Tamandua tetradactyla: one gene and its partner. The protein of the gene in region 2 purifies or fractionates together with the protein of the main gene of each other region. This does not show direct contact. Links are inferred from orthologs where the notes say so. Each region holds a gene or a part of one and is shown on either strand. Other genes may lie near its edges.

Region 1 (7,239 bases), on a different chromosome or scaffold from region 2:
AAAGCTAGCAGATGATGCCTTGTTTGCCATGTGCCCTTCCAGCTGAGAGAGAAACTGACTGTATTCGCCATGTTCTTTATCACTTGAGAGAGAAACCCTGAACTTCACTGGCCTTCTTGAACCAAGGTATCTTTCCATGGATACCTTTGACTGGACATTTCTATAGAGTTGTTGTAATTGGGACATTTTCTCAGCCTTAGAACTGTAAACTAGCAACTTACTAAATTCCCCTTTTTAAAAGCCATTCCATTTCTGGTATATTGCATTCTGGCAGCTAGCAAACTAGAACAGATTTTGGTACCAGGAGTGGGGTGCTACTGCTGTTTGCAAATACCAAACATGTTAGAACAGCTTTTTAAATGGATAAGGGGAAGATTTTGGAGGAGTTGTGAGGAGCTTGATAGAGAAGGCCTCAAATGCTTTGAAGAGACTGTTGGTAGAAATGTGGACTCTAAAGACACTTCTGATAAAGCCTTAGACAGAAATGAGGCATGTGTTATTATAGACTGGAAGGAAAGTGAGCCTTGTTTTAAAATAGCAGATAATTTGACTAGTGGCTTTGGCTAGAAGGCAGAGTTTAAAAGCCATGAACTTGGATATTTAGCAGAAGAGATCTCCAAATTAAATGTGGAAAGTGCAGCCTGGTTTCTCCTTGCAGCTTATAGTGAACTGTGACAGGAAAGAGATAAACTGAGAACTGAACTCTTGGGTACAGAGAAACCAGAAATTGCTGTTACTGGAAAATTCTGGGCTTCCAGGAGGGGAGACCCAAAAGAATGGTGCCCCATTTGAGGATCTGGCCAAATGTGAAACCAGTCAGCCATCTGAGAGAAAGCCAGGATCAGACATGCAGTTACCCAGGAAGAATTTGTGGAAACTCCTTATGTCTGATGGGTATGATCCAAGGCTACTGCATAGAAAGCCAACGAGAGTGCTGTGGGACCTGTATAAACTGACTGATGCCAGTCTAGACTGGGGGGTTCAGAGAAGGGACACATTGGAGGGAAAATAACTTCAGAGGCAAAACCATGGTGACCAGGGTCTGAAGTCAAGAGGCCTCGGGCCAAGAAAGTGGACCCACGCAATCTCGTGGATTGAATTTGCCCTGAAGGCAGAGGATGGGCCTTCTACCTCTTTGCAGTGGAAGAGTCATGCCGCCTCAGGCCTTGGAGAGGGTGAAGCACATTTCTTGGGGTTTGGGGAGAGCCTGGCTGCCATCACATGGAGGGGTTGAGTGTGTGCCCCAGAGATGGCAGAGAGCCTGTGCAGCCCCAGTGCTTGGAGAGGGTGGAGCTGAGAAAAAGGTGGTCTTCCCAGTGTCCCCCAAGATTGCATTCAGAGAGAGGCAGGCCTCTGCATAGGCATTTGGAAAGGGTAGGAGTTCTACTTTCTAAAGACCTGAAGATAAATGATTCTAAGTCTTTGAAATCTATAGTGGACTTTGACCTGTGAGTTTTCAAAACTGTATGGGTCCAGTGACCTCTGGGTTCCTTCTTCCCTGTGGAAATGGGTATATGTATCCCATCACTGTTCCTCCTTTGTATGTTGGCAGCAAACAACTTGTTAAGAGTTTTCAGAGGTCCAGAGACAGAGGAGCAGTTTGCCTTAGAACAGACCATGCCTGTAGCTAACTTTGTTAGGAGTTTGTACTGTTTCTAACTTTGTATTTCATTTGTATTGCTACTGAAATGGTTTAAGGATTTCTGATATTGTTATGGAATGAATGTATTTTGTATCTGGGGAAAACATGTCTTTTTTAGGGCCCAGAGGGTGGAATGTGCTGGTTTGAAATGATGTATGTACCCTTGAAAAGCCATGTTTTAATCCTAATCCCATTTTGTAAAGGCAGCCATTTCTTCTAATCCCTATTCAGTATTGTGTGTTTGAAACTGTAATCAGATCATCTCCCTGGAAATGTGATTTAATCAAGGGTGGTTAAATCTGGATTAGGTGGAGGTGTGTCTCCACCCATTTGGGTGGGTCGTGATTAGTTTACTAGATTTCTACAAAAGAGGAAATATTTTGGAGAATGAGAGAGATTTGGAGAGAGCAGAGAATGCTGCAGCACCACGAAGCAGACAGTCCACAAGCCAGTGACCTTTTGAGATGAAGGAAAATGCCTCCCAGGGAGCTTAATGAAACTGGAAGCTGGGAGAGAAAGCTAGCAGATGATGCCTTATTCACCATGCGCCTTTCCAGTTGAGAAAGAAGCCCTGACTATGTTCGCCATGTGCCTTCTCACTTGAGACAGAAACCCTGAAGTTCATCGGCCTTCTTGAACCACGGTATCTTTACATGGATGCCTTTGATTGGACATTTATATAGACTTGCTTTAATTGGGACATTATCTTGGCCTTAGAACTGTAAACTAACAACTTATTAAATTCCCCCTTTAAAAGCCATTCCATTTCGGGTATATTGCATTCCGGCAGCTAGCAAACTGGAACATCATCACAATAGATTTTTTAACATTTTCATTACTCCATAAACAATAACAGTAAGAATAAAAATAATAGTAAATGCAAAAAGAACACCCCAAACATCTCATACCCCCTATCGCCCCTATTATTTATTTATTGTCTTTATTTTCTTGCTTATTTTGTGACTTGTCAGTCACAAGGTTTTCACAATCACAAGGTCATAATGTAAAAGCTATATAGTTTATACAATCATCTTCAAGAATCAAGGCTACTGGATTACAGCTCAGCAGTTTCAGGCATTTCCCTCTAGCTACTCCAATACACCAAAACTAAAAAGGGATATCAATATAATGCATAAGAATAACCTCCGGAATGACCTCTCAACTGTATTTGGAATCTCTCAGCCACTGAAACTTAATTTTGTTTCATTTATCTTCCCCCTTTTGATTAACAAGTCTTTCTTAATCCCATGATGCCAGGACCAGGCTCATCCCCAGGAGTCAGGTTCATATTGCCAAGGAGATTTACACCCCTGGGAGTCATGTCCCATGTAGTGGGGAGGGCAGTGAGTTTACCTGTAGAGTTGGCTTAGAAAGACCACATCTGAGCAACAAAAGAGGTTCTCTGGGTGTGATCCTTAGGCATAATTATAAGTAGTTTTAGATTCTCTGTTGTAGAAATAAATTTCATATGGGCAAGCCCAAGGATTTAGGGCTTAGCCTATTAAATTGGTAGACCCCAATGCTTCCAAGAATGTAAGGTCTTCCCCAGGTGGAAATATTTCCTCCTTTTCCCCCAGTCCCTCAAAGGGACTTAGCAAATACCTTTTTATTTTCTACCCAGAATCAGGGCATCACATTAACCTGTACAAACCAACAAGATCTCACTCCCTAGTCAAGGTTCTGTGTAATTATGGTGTTTGAATAAGCTGACTATAAAAGTTAAATTAGTGTGCTACAGAAAATATAAATTTTGTACCAAAATCTCTTTCTTTGGTCTGACCTAGAAGTTGAAGTTTTAAAATACAGTCAATAGCATCCTTTACCCTTTTGTCTGATTTAGTGCTGATGAGATCGGCTTCATATCTATTATCGAAGTCTGATCTGTTTTTGGGCTTTTTAAACAGTTGCTATATGGGGTAATGCTGACTTTCATAGCTGCAGCACTCTAGCTCTGAGTCTCAGGCGTCACACAGATACCCAAAGTTCCAGGGAACCATCAGGTTATACATAAAGAGTGTTACACCCCAGAATTTAAAAATAAAAGTTACAACTCAGGAATAGACGTGACTGACGTAAGAGCTTACAATCTAGGAACCTTTACAATAGACTCTGATAACCTATGCTCTCAAATTCAATTTTCAGAGTTTCACATTGTCGTTAGTCCATATTAGTGAGGCATTATAATATGTCTTTTCATTTCTGGGTTATTTCACTCAACAAACTCTCCTCAAGGTCCATTCACCTAGTTGCATGCGTCACAACTTCACTCCTTCTTGCAGCTGCTCAATATTCCATTGAATGTATATACCACAGTTTCCCCTTGCGTTCATCAGTCATGTACAGACCTCTGCACTTTGTGGCAAGGGTGTCAAGCAAGAAATTGTTGGATTAATGCCATTGCCTGACTTGTTCACCGCTGTATATGTAGTGTCCTCAACTGTTTCTGGCTTGCAGAGAGCTTTCAATACCTATTTGTGGAATCCATGAGTAAACGGATGGCGCCTAGGCGAGGATCTCCAGTAGAACTACACTTCCCAGCGCGAATCGCGCGGAAGGCCGCCAGACGTGATGACGCAAAGGGCGTGCCGAGACTGAGGGAGGGGTCGTTCTGCGGGTGTCCGGAGGCTGGGGCGGCAGTGGAGCTCCGGCTGGGAGGCGGTGTGAGGGAGCGAAAGGTGGGCCGGGCTAAAGGGGGGGACGCGCAACCGAGCGCCCCCAGTTCATGAATTGGGGTAAGATGGCGGAGGCGGAGAGCCTGGAGACAGCGGCAGAGCACGAGCGGATCCTGCGAGAGATCGAGAGTACCGACACGGCCTGCATCGGGCCCACGCTCAGGTATTCCGGGTTCTTCAGGGGCCACCGACGGGCGGCACGGGCAGGCAAGCCTCATTCGCGTCCATCTGTCAGGCCAGTCGTCCGCGTGGCCGACGTGACCCGCCTCTTTCGGGAAGACTTGCAAGCGACCTCCGCCTTCGGTGAGGCGGGTCTCCCGCCGCAACCTCGACGTGGGGTTCTTCCCGACTGCCCCACAGCCGGGTTCCTGAGGAGGCTCCTCCTGCCTCCCTCGGGGCTGGACAGGCTTTCCTTCCCAACTTAGAGGCGAGCCCAGCGCCGGGCAACCAGAGAGCGCCGGACAGATGGTGGCTCTCAGTACATCTTCCCCCCCTGGGGATATCACCCTTTCCCTCCGACTCGCACTCTGTCCCGCCCTAGGCGTGAGTCCTTCTCGTCAGACAAAACAGAATCTCACCCCATGGCCTCTTGCTCGGAAATTAAACTCTTGCGTCCTTAAAATCACAACCACTTCTGAGTAGTGAGACATTGAAAATCTTAGGCCCTGGAAGGAAGGCCCCTTCAACAAGCAACCCTCAGCTGGGAGCGAGTGCTCACCGATCCCAATCAGGACGACGGACCCTCCCTAAGGCCCGGGATCATGGCATTCTCATTGATGAAAAAAATCTATCCCTCTCCCGCGCACCCACTCCCGCCCACTACCATTACTTCACTCGCCCTTCTCTGTTTCATATAGTGAGATCAAAGCAAACCCTGGCCTATCGCAGTTTATTAAGGAGCATTTATCGTATGCATTGTAGTCATTTAATACAGTACAAAAGATTGTATTAAGTGATTTACAAATATTCATTTCAACCGCAAAACAGTCCTACTAGGTGTGTACTGTTACTGCTCTTATTTTACAGATGAGGCACAAAGAGATTAAGTGACTTGCTGAAAAGTCACACAGGAAATAAGGTGGAGAAGTCCAGATTCCTATGCAGGCTGGATCCAGATTTCTAGGCTCTAAACTATGGTTCTGCCTCAGTTGGGGTCTGTGATTTATCTGACCTTCCTGTTGATAATAACTTTCCAATTTAGAACTACTTTCCCCCTTCTCGGTTTACTAATGCCCTAGAGCTAACTCATCTTCAGTCCTTCCTGTGGTGCCTCCTGAGCTCCCTGCTGCCAATAAGTAGATAATTATCTTACCCACCTTGTGCAGTCTTAGGTCACAGCTACTCAAAAAGAGTTACTCATTGCCTGCTCTTTCTTGGAGAGAGTTGTCTCATGAAAGAGGGACCGCTGGAGATTTTGCTCCTCAGCTTTACCTTCATCTGAAGCTTTCTTCTTCAGTGTGCTTTAACAGAGTTCTTCCATTGCTATCTCTGGACATGACCATCCTCAGTAATCTGTCTTTTGTCTCTGTAAAGTGACTTGTGGCTCCCTTTTCGAATCAGTTCTTTAATCTGGTGCAGTCCTGCATCGTCTTCCCTTACCTCTGTCCCCTTAGCCCATACATTATGCTATAGACCATCGTGCTCCTTTCTTTTTTCCTTTTCTTAAGTTCTTAAGAGTGAATGATTTTCATTTCATAGGTTTTTACAAAAACTAAGGGTTACTTAATGGAATACTACCAAGTGCATATTTAATAGTTATTGTTTGATTTTCATAAAATAAAATGTTTCTATTAAGAAATTTGGCTGCTGAGCTGCAGTTAGCAACCCAGCCAAGTTCCTAGTGGATGTGTGCAGTTAAGATTACCAAAATTTTTAGGAAGTTTTCTTTACCAGAGCACTATCAGTGTTGTCTTAAATTGGTTTTGGTTTTCAGTTGCTTTTGTTCATGTTTTATATGGTAAATGACAAGTTTTGTTAACAGTTTTGTTTGTTGTGGCTTATTAGTTTAACCCTCCACTGAGTACAGATTCATATTTGTCTATCAACTGAATTTTAGCCTTTATTTTTTCTGGTATCTTGACTAAGAAAAATATGCATTATGGTTCAAATATAAATTAACCATTCACTCCAAACCTTGCTTTATTGTTATTTCCAAGTTCTTTTTTTGCATTGGAAAGTAGGCTTTTTTTTGGGGGTAGATGAACTGAGGTATCTTTTGTCCTAAGAGAGCCAAAAAAAAAAAAAAAAAAAAAGAAAAAGTTTGGTAATCACTGCACTAACCCATAGTTTTAGTTGCTTTTCCTGATTCCCTGTATTATTGTTAGGGGCTTTTGATTTTTGGTCCTGTCTTTTCTCTGGCAGATAATCTTAAATCTTATGGTCAGACCCAAGATTCAGTCACTTGAACATCCTATAATACAAGTAGTACCCATTGTCTTTGTTAGTGTAGCTTGTCCTTGCCCATATTCACAGTTGATGATCTCACCTTTTTTCCTTATTCCATTCAGAACCAGTAGCATGTACAGGCTTGATGTTTCATATCCTGTGCTCTTTCCTTGGATGCACCTCCATGATCATTTTCTCCTGTTTTCCCATCACAGTCATTATAGGCAGTAAGCTGTCTTCCCCAACGATCCTGTGAACCTCAAACTCCTCTGCCCCTCTTCATAGTATCTTTCCTACTTTTCAATCTTTTGAGGTAGGATTTTAAAGGCACTGGAGTCTTAGCTGTTCCTGAGAGAGGGTTTTTTTTTAATTTAAACTTTTTTTTATTGTATAGTATAACATATATACAAAGCAAAGAAATAAAAAAGCAATGGTTTTCAAAGCACTCTTCAGCAAATGGTTACAGGACAGATCCCAGAGTTTGTCATGGGCTACCATATATGATCAAGAGAGGTTTTTTTGACTGAGCAGAAGCTAAAG
Region 2 (7,064 bases):
TATTTTATGTGTTGAGTTTGCCTAGAAAATTAAATTCTCTTTATAACACTGTTTCTATGGAAAAATGAAGAAATTATGAATGTCAAATGAGTTGCAACAAGTTTTTAAAACACAACTGATATTTCTGTAAAGTAGATCTCCTATATTTTACTCAATCTGTGAAGCTTCTATCTTTGCTCCAACTCCAAAAATTGCTTTCTCAAAAAAAATCATTCTCCTGCCTCCTTCATCTTTTATGACTCCCTCTTTCCTCTAATCTTAGCTTACCTGTTCTCTTTCAGCTGAATTTCTTTTCCCACCTAGCCTGGAAGCAGTGCTCCTTTTCCTATATTCACACTAAATTATTCAATAATCTTACCCTGTTGGTTGACCAACTGATCCTTTATGTTTTACCAATCTCCTTAAACTGTCTCTATAGTCACTTAAAAAAAAGCACATACCTAAGTTCTCTGAATACACTACAAATATCTAAATCCAGCCAGTCAGACTTTCAATGTTGCTCAACAATTCTCTAACATTTAATATGTTATTTGTTGCTTGCTTTTCCCATTCACCATCTCTGTTGTCGCAAATCTTTATTACTCTTCCTTCAGCTCCCAACTCTAGTGTCAGGTTCCTCATTCTCTGCAAATGACTTCATCACCTACTCTGCAGAAAATATAGAGAACATGACGTACAATTCTCCCCAATTGCTTTCTTCTGCATTTCTCTACATATTCACCCATCCTAACCTCTTTTCCATCTATTACTAAATACTTAACATGCTGTAGGGCTTAGATAAAGTGTTAAAAGCTCTAGTCCGTCCTATATCCAAGCCACATTGAACACTAGCCAGTTTAGGTTTCTATCTCTGAGCTTTTTGCTCATGTAATTTCCTTTTCCTGGAATTCTTTTCTCCTTTGGAATTCTACCCCATCTCTTTTAAGATACCAGTAAAATGGCACCTCTTGTGTGAAGTAGTCACAAAATAATAATTCCACTTCTACTTCTCTAAAATTTTCTTTTTACTCTGTGAACACTGGACTTGCCAACAGTATTTTCTAGCTAGCTGTATTCTTGAGTAGCTCTTTGTAGGCAAGGATCATGTCTTATTCATCTTTGTATTCCTAGAACTGGCACACTGCACATAATATACATATTATAAATATTTTTAAAAAAACACCAAATAACATAACTACAGCTCTCCCAAAGTTCAAGTCGCACATCTGCAAGCAACTGTCCAGGTTCAAAACCTCAGTCATATTTCATTCCCTTCTCCATTGTCAACATCAAATCTTTTACCACATATTGTTGCTTTCCTCCTGTACCAGTAATTTATTCCTTCCTTTCTTTTCCCACTGCCACTACAGTAAATTAGGTTCACATTACCTATGTCTATTTAATAGTACAGCATACAGTTATATCTTCGCAAGCTTCCACAATCCCCAAGTTTCTCATAAATAAATAATCTTAAAACATAGCTTTCATCACACCACACCCTTGCTCAATAGTTTCCTAATGTTCCAAAGATGAATATTCTACTCAAGCACTCTGTTCATTCCAGGCTTTAAATTTTTGCTCAGGTGCTTTTCCATGCAGGGAATGTTATCGCCTCCCTAACCAAACTCTAATTACTTTTATAGTTTATGTGAAGTCAAGATCTTAGGTACAAATTGATCTCCCCTCTCAATGTCTATAGCATTTACTACATTTATTAAACAAGCAGGCGCTTGGTGACTAATTGGTTCTGAGATCATAAATTCCTGGATCTCAAGAACTAACTGTAAAAAAGGGAGGGGGTGTGGGGGAGAGAGTGAGCAAAATGCTCTGTCAAAGTTTGGGTTTATGGTAGGTACTCATGAAACACCTCTTGAGATAACATGAACTGAATAGTACACACTGGTCAAATAAATGGACTAATGGTGGCCAACATTTACAACACAGTCCCTCTCAGGTCAAAAGCAGTAACTGAAATGTATGGTAGGTGGTAAAACAAGAGCGGATTGGGCATACCTCATAAAGGAGTTAGGCATAATGAAAAGACCCCTCATTTGTTCAGCAAATATTGATGCTTACTAGGGGCCAGGTTACAGTAGTGAACATGACAGACATTCAAGAAGATATATCCCTTCATGGCATTTATATTCTAAGGATCAAATGATAAGCTCTCCAGACTTATGTACTCTCCTGTAAATCAGTGAGTAAATCACTTAAAGTCCTCCAAAATTATTTCCCAGGTCTATGTCTGACAACGTTCCACAGGCAGTAGTCCAACGCTCACTCTGCGGTGGATTTACTCTCTGTGGTGAATTTGTCTGTGTGACAGCTTGTCAGTGAGTGTCCGTGGATTGGATCCCGTACGCTGTTGAAACATTTTAGCTCGTGGCGCACTGTCACCCAGAACAAACAAAAGCGTACGGAGTCAGAGAATTGTACTCAAGATATTTTAGAAGAAAATGTGGGTTTTGACTAAAAAGTGGAAGACTGTTACACCTCCCTTTCCTGGTCCACGCCAAAGCACGTACGATTAGGGCCGTTTTGCACAAATGAAGTCTGGTTCCTAAAAGGCAGATCCGGAAAAGGATGTGCGAGGACTGCCGCCCCTGCTACATATTCTCCTAGGCCCCAGAGAGCAAGAAGGGGAGTCTTGGCCGGACCCAGCGTCCTACCCAGAGAGGTGGGAAAGGAAAAGAGGACCTGGCAGCTGATGGAGCTATGCTCCGACCCGGGTCGCCGAGCCAGTAGCGGACTGAGATGCCACCTCAGACCCTGAAGCCCGCCCGCTCGCCTGCCCACCGCCGCAGGGTCTACTAGGCAGCCGCGGCCGAAGGCTTACCGCAGGACCGGCCCAAGCCCGCCTGCACCCAGGCGGGTCCTCCAAGACGGAGAAGGGGTGGGACTGAGGCGATGACTGCTACGGGAAGCGCCCCTCAGTTAAGCAGTGAACGGGAAACTGTGGTTCTACTACCACTTCCCATATCCGGACACGTGACAAACCTCAGAACCGGAAGTGGGCCCCGTAGAGAAGGAAGGAGAGGCGGTGGGAAAAGGGGAGTGGCCAATGACGCGACGGGGAGCGGCACCACCCGAAAGACGTAGAGAGGCGGGACCTGGCGCTGCCAGAAGGGCGTGTCAGGAAGGGCAGGGGCGGGGCGAGGCCTTTTGGCGCGCAGGCTGATCTGTGATTGGGTGCTGCGCGATATTTACTTTCTCTGGAACATTTATTTATTCACATATTTGCAGCAATTCCCTTCAAAAGAGTCCGATTAAATGTGTGTGGGTTTTTTTGTTTTGCATTTGTGAAGCTCGATTAACTCTAGACCCTTGCTACGCAAAGCATGGAGAACGAGTTAAATCGGAATCTTCGGGTTCGGACCCAGACAGCAGTACATCTGACAGCTTCCCAGATGACTTTAGTATGTAATTGAAATCGCTAAACATTGCTCTAGTGATCTCGATATTCAAAAATGTGCTCCACGGGCCAGTTTCATGGGCACTACTTGGGAGCATTTTAGAAAATACAGCCTCTCCAGCCCGGTGAAGATAATATTGAATCTGCATCCCAACATTTAACTTTTAGAAGCACAGGTGATGCCAGTGTTGCTGTTCTCAAGGCAGATGATTCATTGATTCCATAGCCCTGGCAAGTGTTTTATTTTCGGGTACTTTGATTCCAGAGGTGATTCAGATGTGTAGCCTATCCTAAAAAAATTCACAGTGCGTTAGATTAGTCAAGGTGTAGATACAAATAAATATAAAATAGGATACAAAAATAAGTGACAGAAGAGAGCTCCGGGCTAGATAAGCGTGCTGGAAGTTAAAAGGGGCGATTTATTTCCTCCTGTTTGACAGTCTTTCCCAAGGGACTGCAAGGATCCATTCATAATTCATTAACTGAACAAACAACCAGGGCTAATTTTGTGCCAGTGTTAGCTGTTGAAGATACAAAGACAGGAAAGTCACCGAAGAGGAGGCACACTCTCACCGGGGAGGAAGAATTAAATAGACGGATAAATTACAGTTTAATGAAATAAATCTGACAACAGAGGTAGAAAAAGTTTGTGCACCCTGAGAATGTACAAGAGGGAGTAACTCACTCTGTCAGGGATAGATTTACTGAGAAAGTGACAAATAAGCTGTGCAAAGTATCTTTCAGTGTTTGTCTGAAGATAAAATTCAGTGGGAAAAGCATCATAAATAGGTGGTCTGTTTGCTGTGGAAATCATAATGTTCCAGTCACACTGCTTTCGAAGACTTCATTTTCATGGATTGACTCCCCTTTCAAAAGCATGATCTCTATCTAGGCTTTATTTCTCTATAAAGACCCTCTCTGTCCCTATTTATTTGCATGTTTACAGCCCTCCTCAAAATTGAGAAATAAATTGTATTCCAAATGTATTTACATACCTTGAGCTTTTTCCCTGAACTCCACGTTTGTAGATCTAATTGTCTCCCCAGCATTTCCACATGCGTGTCCAATAGGTGTCTGAAACTTAATGCATCCAAAAACGAAATTCTTTTCTATTCCCTCCCCTCCTAAATTCCCCCCAAATAAAGGCATAAACAAGGTTTATGTGCCAATAGTTTACTTGGGATTATGAACCCAGGGAGCAAAAAAAAAAAAAAAAAAAGGGAAGGAGGAGGGAAAGTCAACATAAGCATATGTTATTGAGTTAGCCACTATTATTTTCTATTCCCTAAGATCTTCTGAAAAGTGCTATGCAATGAATCTCAAAACTGTCCACTGAGGAGAAGAATGGAGAAAGCATTTATCTGTTGGCTCCTGTCCCCTTTGATCAAAGGTTAATGCCCCCAGGATAATAACTATTCAGTACTTCCAAATTACACAATTGTTAATGCCAAACTGGCTCCCACCTCACAGGAATCGGGAAGTGAGAGGAGAGCAGTTGCCATGTTGGACTTGCCGAAGGTTGATCAAACCCTACTTAGAGCAGTTTGCTGCAGCAGTGGTTAGCAAAAGAGGATAAGGGGGTTTGAAGTAGTTCACAGGTGTCCATTTCAGTTCACTTCTTGAACCACTCAGATCTGCTTGTGCCCTTCTTTAAATTCTGTCCTTCATAGACACTCCTTCAAGGTTGCAGAGATTGCAGCTGCAATTTAATTTAATACAAGAAAATACAAGGGATTTAATACAAGAAAGTTAGTGGATAGTCTTCAGTCCTTGCTCTACACTGATGCCCAGACCATATTTGCATTCATTAACTCTGTCTTCTACTACCCATCTAACTTTCCCTCACCCTTGGGTAGCACATCGTCTAATCTAGGTTACTTCCCTAGTAAAATAGCCTAGACCTTATTTTCCTTGCACTGGTTGGGGCATAGTTACTGCAGTTGGCCTGTTCAACGTATCCCTGGGCACAGAAACACTAAGATACATTCTAATGAATTCCTTAGATTACAGATATGTTCATCCCTGCTGCTATTGTATAGAATATAGCAACAATTCTAGCTCCTTTACTAATCACAGCTGGGTACTCCTACTAGTACAGTAACCAACTCCTTTCTTTGCACCTTGTTCACTGCCATGAAAAGACCAAAGTAACCAAGTAATAGTGAGAGTTTCAAGTCCAGTGAAATCCATACTGTGTATCCAGATGGAAACCTGAATCCCAGAGGGAACCATTTATTCTGACCTAGCGAAGTCTAAATTTGAGGGGCAGGAAACACAAATTCTGTTGGTGGGTCACTGGGAGTGATAATAGGATCACTTAGCCTGAGTTTCTGCAGTCACGCCTTCTAGCTATTGGAACACTAATTTGGTTAATTCAGTGCATTTACCAAATCCTGTGGGACAATACCTCAATCCACAAGGTGTGATCCCAAGCAAGCACATTAGCTAAGGCTGTAATGGGTCATTCCATCATTTTATGAGGCTGGCTGCTTCTGGGTGATTAATGATATGGCGTTATCAGTGGATTTTGTGGTTATGTATGTCTTGTCACACTTTCCCTTTCTTATTTTTTGGTCGCAAGTAATGTTGATAAGAATTGCTATAATTCCTGTGATTGTGGATGCTGGCAGTGGATGCAGGCAAGAAAGACAAACTCAGGAGTTTTTAAATATGTTTACCGCAGGCCTCTTCTTCTTCTATATAGAGTAAATCATGAAGTACACTGCTCCCAACTCTGTCATCTTGGAAACTCCCCTTCACCATTGTTCTTTAAATTTATGCCTGAGTGGGGCCTTAGAACTCCAATGTTAGCTACTCACCAACATAACGGGACAACTCATTTTTTGGACCAGGCTCGAATTTTTTCATTTTCATTAAATGGTCATGTAAAGAAGGATTTTATAAAACTTAACAGTAGCTAACTTTTCTTATGTAAAGAAGGATTTTATAAAGAAAAGAGTTATGGGCCCCATCAGGCTAAAACAACCCGGGACTTCCCAGGGGCGGTTATCTGCTGCCTTTGTTATGCAAGGTTATCTGCTGCCTTTGTTATGCAAGGTTTTCTGCTGCCTTGGTTATGCAAGGTTGTAACTGCCGGAGAAAGTTTATCTAAGAATGCAACTGAGAAGGTTGAGTAAGGGAGTTTTGCATGAGACAGCTGCTTCTTGCAAGAAGCAGCTCCCATGACTCATGCGCGAAAAATGTTTGTTATCTGCTTCTCGCAAAATGTTCGTTATCTACTTCCTGCATAAAGCAGAACCTGTAACTAATGTTCAACCCTCAAACCCCACACCCTTATCCTGGCCCTCAAAAGGCTTCCCAAAACCCAGGTTCGGGGCTCTCTGTCCCTGCGTGTTCAGTGAGCCCCACGCATGTGTGGTAAATAAACCCCTTGCGTGTTGCATGAGAGAACGTCTCTTGGAGTCCTCCTTTGCACGGCAAAACTCTCAAATTCTTACAGTCATAGAGAACTTCCAGGAAGCCATAGTTGTGAGATGGTTGAGCAGGAGACATCAGTGATACAGGAATAAATGCCCTGGGAGTCAGAATGACCCATTCATGTAATTTGCTTGAGTTTTCTGGATGTGCTCAGGTTCAAGCCTATTCAGTATCATATTTCAGTAGATTTTTGCTATCCCCATGGACTTGTGACTTGGTGGGTTTGATTATATCC

Evidence for each region.
Region 1: the proteins of EXOC1 (region 2) and EXOC6B purify together in Homo sapiens (affinity purification with mass spectrometry; 3 studies listed by BioGRID and IntAct, counting the BioPlex papers as one, with this or other methods). This does not show direct contact. The link is inferred for Tamandua tetradactyla from reciprocal best matches to the Homo sapiens genes EXOC1 and EXOC6B.

The regions. Positions count from the first base shown.
Region 1 is NC_135343.1:46,428,393-46,435,631, reverse strand, and holds the start of EXOC6B (exocyst complex component 6B), read left to right. Parts: upstream 1-4,234; 5' UTR 4,235-4,364; coding exon 4,365-4,477; intron 4,478-7,239. UniProt on the Homo sapiens protein: Component of the exocyst complex involved in the docking of exocytic vesicles with fusion sites on the plasma membrane.
Region 2 is NC_135345.1:56,285,797-56,292,860, reverse strand, and holds the start of EXOC1 (exocyst complex component 1), read right to left. Parts: upstream 3,006-7,064; 5' UTR 2,816-3,005; intron 1-2,815.